2 linked regions of the Oryzias latipes genome follow. The protein of the gene in region 2 interacts with the protein of the main gene of each other region in a pairwise test. Links are inferred from orthologs where the notes say so. Each region holds a gene or a part of one and is shown on either strand. Other genes may lie near its edges.

Region 1 (4,462 bases), on a different chromosome or scaffold from region 2:
AAGTAAACTTAAACTTCATTCAACTCATTCCACAACATTTGACAGACGGGACGCATCACAAGTCAAACTAAAACATTTTGGCAGATTTTTGGGCCCCATGTACCAAAGGAAATCAATTTGAGGGCAGTAAGTACACTCAATTTATAAATAGTATTTTACAAATACAAGGATTTTAAGATAACCTTATGGTTTGAAAAATACAGTAAGACTCTCTTAATGATCCCATGTGACACAGGGTCTCTTTTTTTAAAGGAAGTCATCAGAACCTCTGTAAAAAGTTATAAACTTTTCAACTACTGCACTCAGTTACTTACCTTTTTGCCCCCCTTGTAGAAGTGGAATGTAGGCATGCATTTAATTTCACAGAAACTGCTGATATCCTGAAAGAGAAAAAGCAACAGTTTTTTTTTATGAATCAAAATTAAAAAAAATAAAAATACAATTATTAAGTAATTATTGTTGCTGGCCCCCAATTGCAACCTAACGCTTTCATAAAGTAGAGAGACTAAAAACAAAAGCTGGTTTTGCCCATTAAAACAAAGCTAGTTTGTACTGGCCAAGGAGGAGAACGTGCACACTCACATCAGCCTCGTCCACATCCACCTTCAGGAAAACCACATTCTTGTTGTCATCGCTTTCCGACATTTGCTGCAAGACAACAAGTACATACAACAACAGTACATTAGACTCAACTCTACAGAAACAGAGCACTTTTACTGAAAAATCATACTGGGTGTGTGTTGGACCATTTCCTGTGAACAAGCACTTCCTCTCCTTGAAGTGGGGAGGTAAACCTTATAGGGTTGCCATAGTAACAATGCATCTACATTTAAACACCGTTTTCAATTGGTCCCCCTGTTTCTATTCGCTGGTTGGGACGGTTGACAGAGAGGGGTTGTAACTTCCGAGCTCTCCGACTAGCTTAAAGCCCATCAAACCCCCAACCTAACACTACAGGTGAAACAAAAATGGTGAGCAATATCGGAGCTATCAGGCATACAGTTTTGAGCCGGATGACAGCTCAGACGAGGAAAACAAAGACGTACATGGATCCATTTGTCTGCAAGTAGAGGCATCAGTATGGAGTGGAGCAGGGAGCTTGTGGCCTGCAGATTGTAGCTTCTACATTACAACTACAAGCTCTGTCAAAACTGTCCTTTCTTGCCTGTGACTGATTCACAATAAGAAAAAGAAGTACTCAGAAATGCATTTTTAAGCTTAAATTTCTTTATACATGTTCTCCTTTATCAGAAAATGGGCACAAAAACATGTTAAAAACATTTTCATCGGATCAAGTCTTTAAGCTCCAGTTATCTACCTTGTACAAGGGGGCAATCTGTTTGCAGGGCCCACACCATGATGCAGTAAAGTCCACAACCACCAGCTTGTCTCCAGCGTCTTCCAGAATTTTCTTGAATTCTGCCTACAAAAAAAGCATGTTTCCATCATTTATTTTAAATAAGCATAAAGGTAAAGAATTCGTTTAAATAAATTACTTCATTTTGTCAGCAGGCTTTCCCATAGTGTAACGATAAGTGGTTATCAAAGGTTTGGCTAATGATTAGCAGAACAGCCCCAGATCAAAAGCAGTCGCTGTATCTGAATTCCCACCCTAACCCCCAACTTCTAAAAAAAACTATAGAGTGCACCGACTTAAAAGCAATTTGGACACCATGCCCACTACTTTTTTTTTTAATTTACGGCGGATATGACGTCATCGATTTCACGAAGTTAAAATCTAATTGATAGGAGCATTTTGCGAGGATCATTTATCAGTCTTCTGAAGATAAAAACACTTGACAGGTTGTTCAGAAAGTACATTTAAATACATTTTTAAGCAAAAATAGATTTGATGCCATGCATTGTGATCTATATTCACAGATCTAGTGAGCATTGATGCACACTGTTTTTTTGCGGAGATTTCTGGGAAATTTGCAGGGCACTCGATTTTGGAATTGTAGAATCGGACAGCACTACAAAATGGCGAACGCACAGTGCACTTTGTAGTGATTAGTGAAGGAATTCGGACGCAACCAGTGACACCCAGAAGTCTGAATGATTTCAGCAGTTTTGACATCCAGGCATGTGTACACACGGACAGAGGCGGCCCGAGGCCTAGCGGAATGGTCCAAGTGTCGCAAATAGGAGTTGACTTTTACTCAAACTAGTACTTTATTGTAGCTTTCTGCTCATCTGAGCCATGATAGGAACGTTTTTTTGGTGTATTACTAAAAGATTTTTTATCTAGTTAACGGTAAAACCTTTCCGAAAACTTGTAACCCTGGCAACGTGTTCGCGCGGCAACAAGATAGCAAAGTCCGCCCTCGTGCATCATGGGTAGAAAATGGAAAAAAAGAAAAAACAACTAAACATTAGCAATACAGCCTCCAGAGTTATTCTGTCGGAGTAATTTATTCCATCAACGACAATAAACATGCTAACTCTAAGCGAATAAATGCTTTAACAGGGTTTTTTTTTCTTGCAAAAAAGGTAAGTAGATAGAAGCTTGCTGAGAAAATAACCGCGCGGCTACCTAACGTCAACTGTGCTGTCCTGAATGTATGTAGTAGTACAGCGAAATAAATAAAGACATGATTAATTGTATTTATAGAACTACTTACAAGATCAGCCACTTCACGGACCATGTTTGCTGTTTTGAAAAGGCAAACTCTCGCTGAATCTAAAAGACAGCGGCTTCGCAAAGACCACACTTTCAGTCAAAGAGGATGACCTGCCCTATTTATAACGGCGTCAGACTAACACGTCGCAGCGGAAGAGCTGATGGGTTGACTAACAAAATAAAAGCCAGTCTTTTATGTTTAAGCGAATCATTTATATTAAAAGAACGCCGTGTGTATACGTCATTGCCACTATGATTGTGCATGAAATGTGTTGTAACCGTACTTGATTTCATGTTGTATCAGCAGTTGTGTTATTACTGGTAAAGCTTCACGAAAAATACTTTTATTTTGAAAGTTATAAACAGAATGGTTTCCTTTCCTGGATTCTTGCAAATATTTTAGCTCTTTACTGAGAATAAAAACTACAGAATCGGTGATGTCAGGCTATATATATCTGAGGCCCGTTAGTGCTTCGTTGTTGTTTCGTTGCGGCTTAAAATAACTTGCAAAACTAATCTACTAACAATAACGCGTCCTTTTAGAGAATTATATCGATAGTAAGTTGAAATACTTTTTTTGTTTTTAATTCCGTCAACGCTTGATCAGACAGTCGAATCACAATGACTTGGCAAATTTCTGTACTACCGTAAACATGGTCACTGCAGACCATATTTCCTTGTACAAACTCTGGTCAACGCCCATGAGGCCACACCCCTGCACTAGTCTTATTACGTAATAGCTTAAAAAGACTTTATTTGTTTATTCTTTTACAACTAAAGTAAGGGGTAAACAATAAACAGAAAAGTCCATACTATAACAAAAAATTGCAATATTTAGACAAATTATTGCAGTTTGATCATGGTTGGAATAAGTTTAGGGAAGTGATTTAATCAGAAGATTAATTCTAAAAGATGGTACACAAAGACTTGTTTTTCCATTTACATATTTGAATAAAGAATTTGAGTATTTAGACTACATATGTGAATGTTCCAACAGGTTCTATCGTAAAAATAAGGAAACTTCATTTGAAGCCTAAGAATTGCCTAATTTAGACCTTAAAACATTTTTTAAAAGTATCTTTGCATAATTCCATTCTTTAAAATATGATGCAAGTTCAAATCAGTTAGGCAATGCATGCAATACCAGCATACATCAATAAAGACCAAAAACAACCTTTATTATAGAATAAACAACAATATCTGGTTACAGTTTTATCTATGTCGCTGTAAAACAAGCAAATGTCACTTTTGGATTTTTTTCCCCGTTCAGGTAGAAGCCGTGTCACAGCTGTAAGAAAACAATCTTTTTATTTACGTTTGTCCGGGAAAAAAAGAGAAAAATACTAAACAATTTAAATAAAACTACATTCTATTGAGAAATACAGACATATCTCACACATATGTATTTTAAAAATAAAATTAATTCACTAAACACTGAAAAGACAATACATATCTTGTAGTTATTTTTCAGTGCAGTATATGTAAAATCCTCCTTCATTAATTGTGTAAAGACCTTTATTGGTCATCCATCAGACAGCAACAACGGCTTTGCCAGTGTTGTCTCCTTTCAGCATCCCCTTAAAAGCAGCTGGCATGTTTTCAAAGCCTTTGGTGACGTGCTCCCGACATTGCAGTTTTCCCTGCAGAGGCGTCATGTGTGTATACAATTAATAGCAGTGACACAGAAATCTTTTCATTCCTGATTGATGCTCCACATTACCTGTTTGAACCACGCCATCAGCCTCTTGAGGCTTTCAGGATGCTTGTGTGTCCACCATCTTCAGTTGGTACAGCCCTAACAAAACACAAATACAATAGTCAGAAGAAGTACAGTCTCTGGCT
Region 2 (4,277 bases):
GTTCAAAGTTGGGCCACATGTTGAAATTAAAATTAAATGACACTGATTAAAGCAGATGCAGACTGTTTACCATTTCAAAACGTTTTTTGTACTCCAAAAAAAAGAGTATTTCATGAATCTTTTGACATTTTTTGGAACTTAGAATGGAAAAATTGGGAGGGGTGATCAAAGTTTATCACCCAATTAGTTCATTAACAATAAAATTCAATTACTGTAGACATTCAAACTTGATTATACATTTTATTTCCAAGCATTTCTGTCTGCTAGAAGCACATAATGAAGCCCTCGCCTTGAATTGAGGAGGTGACTGTGCCTTCCAGTCTGGGCCTGTGTGCACGCTACCCAACAAGTTTCCTGATTGTCGTGCGTGATTGTGCTTCTGAGAATAACCTTTCTGAAAATATGGAAACGTACTAGTAGTGATACTTGTTCAAACAAGCAGGGTACAACCTGCATCTTGTCGGAGATCGTCCTCTTTCAGGAGGATTTTCTTTCATATTTTGCAAGTAAACGAGACAGAGCGGTGATGTGTTGACGCGGATCGGCGCGTCCTCGGAACTCCCGGCGCGCAGCAGACGCTGCGCTCTGAGCGGCACAGGGACGCGGCACCTGAGTTCCGCCGAAGAGGTCGCGCAAGGACTTCTGAAGGAGTTCCGCGCGCGTCTGCTCCAGCCAGCGGATCTGCGCGCGCGCACGTGTGTGTTTGTAAATGTGTGTGCGTTTCATTCAATGAAACGCAACACCCCAGTTCTCGGTCTCATCGGAAACAGGTTTGATTATATTTAAAAGCTTGACCCGGGAAAGAAACCCAAACAACTGTCTGTTCTAATATTAGCCGCGCGGCTGCCGACTACTATGAATTCTATTATTGTCTGAGCTCGGATATGTTCTCAAAGGCAGCTCATCAAAAGATTTACACTTTTGTCCGCAGTTGGTGGACAAATATCAGTTACCAATCATCTTATCCCTAGATTGAAGGGACTGCGAGATGATCTGATGGGTTTCGTTACCCTTTTAAAGAAACGCAATTCTTCAAAATATAAATTTTAATATTAATGTTAACATTATTATTGCAAGAAAAAAATAGGGAATCCGAGTCTCATATAGTAAACAAATGTTATACTTTCATATTTTTCTTTTCTTCACTCCTCTTATAGCTTCAGGATTCAAACGTCTGGCTTTGCATAACAAATATTTCCATGCTCCTCTCAGCGCAGGGAAGGGAAAGTTCCTTGTAACGATGTCACCTGACTGGGATTGAAAGAACTTGGGTAAGAAAAAAAAAAAACACATCTCCCCACCCCCACAGAAGAGGGGACCGCCCACCACAGACAGTCAACCCGAGACCCCATATAGATTTAAAAAGAGAGGCTGCATTCTCAGACTGACACTTATTCAGCCCTGCCACCTTAAGCAGATTACTTTTGCGCTGCTTGTGTCAAATACGTGGCTCACTTTGCCTCTCCATCATGCTTGGGATGCTCAATCACCACCTCCACCCGGGCATTTTTCTCTTCTTCATGTGGCTTTGTCACCTCATGGAACATCAGAAGGTTCAAGGTAAGCTCTCCTTGTCTGTCTCCTGACTTTTTTTTTTAATATGTTTTAATGTAGAACCTCTAAACGCGCGGATGCAGGAATCTCGTTGCCAAAGGGAAACTTTCCAGAGTGACTTCTGGTTCTTCTTCCTCCCAACGACCAAAACTCTGTGCGCCAGACGGCGTGCGCGTTAACCCTATATAAAACAGGTGCCATGTGGTAATGGCTTCAGACTTCAAAGTGGGGAAAATGGCACATTTCTGCAGCCCTCGGCGGGCTCACGCGCTAGAAGCCGCCACGCAGCGTTCTGTAAATATCTGCACATATTTCAAGACCTTTATGTGAGCGTTGAAAGTGTTTAATGAAGCTGTCGCCTGCCCTCCAACAAACTTCAGAGTGGCCACAGATAGCTTTATGAGCAGTTTATATTTATTTATTTATTTATGGCACACACCCTTTCAGCTTTTGCGCTCGAATTTCTTCCTTTTTCCTTTTTATTTTTGCTTATGAAATAAATGAGCAAACCTCAATTTATGTTGGGGTTCCAAATTCCAAGAGATCTACCATAAAACATCATGTCATAGACACATTATACCAACATAAAAATCAAATTTTATAGCAATTTTGTTATAGTTTTTTGAAAATGTGTCAAAGGTTGACATTTCTGTTTTTTTATGTCATATGACTTTGAATTAAATTCCCCCATGTGTCGCAGACATGTCAGTGTCTGGTACATGTCTGGGATATTTTAGTGAGGCGTTGGAGATGGTGGTTTGTTCAGTCTTGCTGTAAAGACCGTGGTTTTCGTAATGATTGAGCTTCGCTGTCTAGACGATTCAGTTTGTGCGCAATGGCAACAAGGAGATTTTTGGAATAAAAGAAAAAAAGATTCTTTTTTTACTTTTCTAAGTTTGCATTGTAAGAGCTGTCAGTCACAGTTGGGATAGGCAAGTGTTAACAGTCTTGGAAAAAAAATCTGACAAAATACCACCGGGAGGGTGAAAGAGGAGGGAGGGAGCGTTTCAGATAATACAATCCGCCTGCGTGTCTGGTGTGTCTGGGTCTGTGATACACGTTCAGCGAGCGATACTCAAGATTCTTTTCTTTTAATGTTGTTGCTGTTTGCAGCCGGGAACTGCTGGTTGCAGCAGGGAAGGAACGGGAGATGTCAGGTCCTCTACATGCAAGGGATGAGCAAGGAGGAGTGCTGCCGGAGTGGAAGGCTGGGAACGTCCTGGACCGAGGAGGACGTTCCCAACAGCACGCTCTTTAAGTGGATAATCTTCAATGGCGGAGCTCCAAATTGCATACCTTGCAAAGGTGGAGGTGCACTCATTTTCCTTGGTTTTTCGCATAAACTAAAGCACACCACCAATCAAACCGATTATGTGATTAACGCATTCAGCCAACGTAAAGTATCAATGTGTCACTCAATGTCAATCATTTTACGCACACATTCCTTAACGCGGGGGTGTTTTTCTTGTAGAAAGCTGCGATAATGTTGACTGCGGACCTGGGAAGAGATGCAAGATGAACAGAAGAAGTAAACCGCGCTGCGTGTGCGCTCCAGACTGCTCCAACATCACCTGGAAAGGACCGGTCTGCGGCTTTGACGGGAAGACCTACAAGGACGAGTGCGCTCTCCTGAAGGCGAAATGCAGAGGCCACCCCGACCTGGACGTGCAGTACCAGGGGAAATGCAAGAGTAGGTGTTTTTTATTTATTTATTTATGTTTTTTTAATTAACTTTTGAGTCTTTTCAGGCTGCAAGTGAGAGGAGCAGGAAGAAAGAGCGGAGTGGCTGCTGCATTGATTTTCCCATTGACATCATTTTCTCTTTGTCTCCAGAAACGTGCCGTGATGTCTTGTGTCCTGGCAGCTCAACATGCGTCGTGGACCAGACAAACAACGCATACTGTGTGATGTGTAATCGGCTTTGCCCTGAGGCGACGTCACCTGAGCAGTACCTGTGTGGAAACGACGGGATCATCTATGCCAGCGCCTGTCACCTGAGAAAGGCGACCTGTCTCCTCGGCAAGTCTATCGGAGTTGCGTACGAGGGAAAATGCATCAGTAAGTCTGTAACAAGAGATGTGAAAGCGTCACACTGAACCCCCTGACACAGCGCCTCCTTGCAGCCACTTTGATTGTGGCTACATTTTCTCCCTGGCCACCTCTGCAGTAATGCACTTCTCGTTTCTGCCAACATTCCAGTTGGGAGGAGGTCTCAGAGAAAGAGGGTGTTTGGTACTTGCTTGTGTTTGCTCAAGAAATGATAGACATCTTATTATTTCCTGATGTTGGCAGCACTATCCCATATGGGAGAGAGTGAAGGCGAAGTGGAGGAAGTTAGAGAGCAAAACAGGGGAGAGCTGGGGGCCATGAAGAAAAAGCTGCAAGTTTTAGGCCAAATGGTTTCCTATCTAGATAACAATCAATCTGAGCCATGTATTTTCTGGAAAAATGCTCACCCTGAATGCAACTTTGTGTTCCTGATGCATCTGATAAGATAGATGCTGTTTGTTTGTTTTTTCCAGATAAATGCACAGAAAACCCGAACTAATCTAATTCTGTTAAAAAAGTTTTTAGACGTGTGGAATCTAAGTAGCCACTGATGATGATTTCCTCGTCTCTTCATCCAGAGGCAAAGTCATGCGAGGACATCCAGTGTAGCGGAGGGAAGAAGTGTCTGTGGGATTCTAGGATGGGCCGGGGCCGCTGCTCGCTCTGTGATGAGT

Evidence for each region.
Region 1: the proteins of fst (region 2) and txn interact in binary tests that used the Homo sapiens proteins (3 or more experiments, as listed by UniProt). The link is inferred for Oryzias latipes from reciprocal best matches to the Homo sapiens genes FST and TXN.

Annotation. Positions count from the first base shown.
Region 1 is NC_019876.2:18,250,285-18,254,746, forward strand, and holds the start of txn (thioredoxin), read right to left. Parts: upstream 2,843-4,462; 5' UTR 2,646-2,842; coding exon 2,622-2,645; intron 1,424-2,621; coding exon 1,319-1,423; intron 649-1,318; coding exon 583-648; intron 381-582; coding exon 315-380; intron 1-314. UniProt on the Homo sapiens protein: Participates in various redox reactions through the reversible oxidation of its active center dithiol to a disulfide and catalyzes dithiol-disulfide exchange reactions.
Region 2 is NC_019867.2:5,754,291-5,758,567, reverse strand, and holds the start of fst (follistatin), read left to right. Parts: upstream 1-1,313; 5' UTR 1,314-1,469; coding exon 1,470-1,560; intron 1,561-2,667; coding exon 2,668-2,865; intron 2,866-3,025; coding exon 3,026-3,244; intron 3,245-3,387; coding exon 3,388-3,612; intron 3,613-4,181; coding exon 4,182-4,277. UniProt on the Homo sapiens protein: Multifunctional regulatory protein whose primary function is to antagonize members of the transforming growth factor beta (TGF-beta) superfamily including activin, myostatin, GDF11 or bone morphogenetic proteins (BMPs).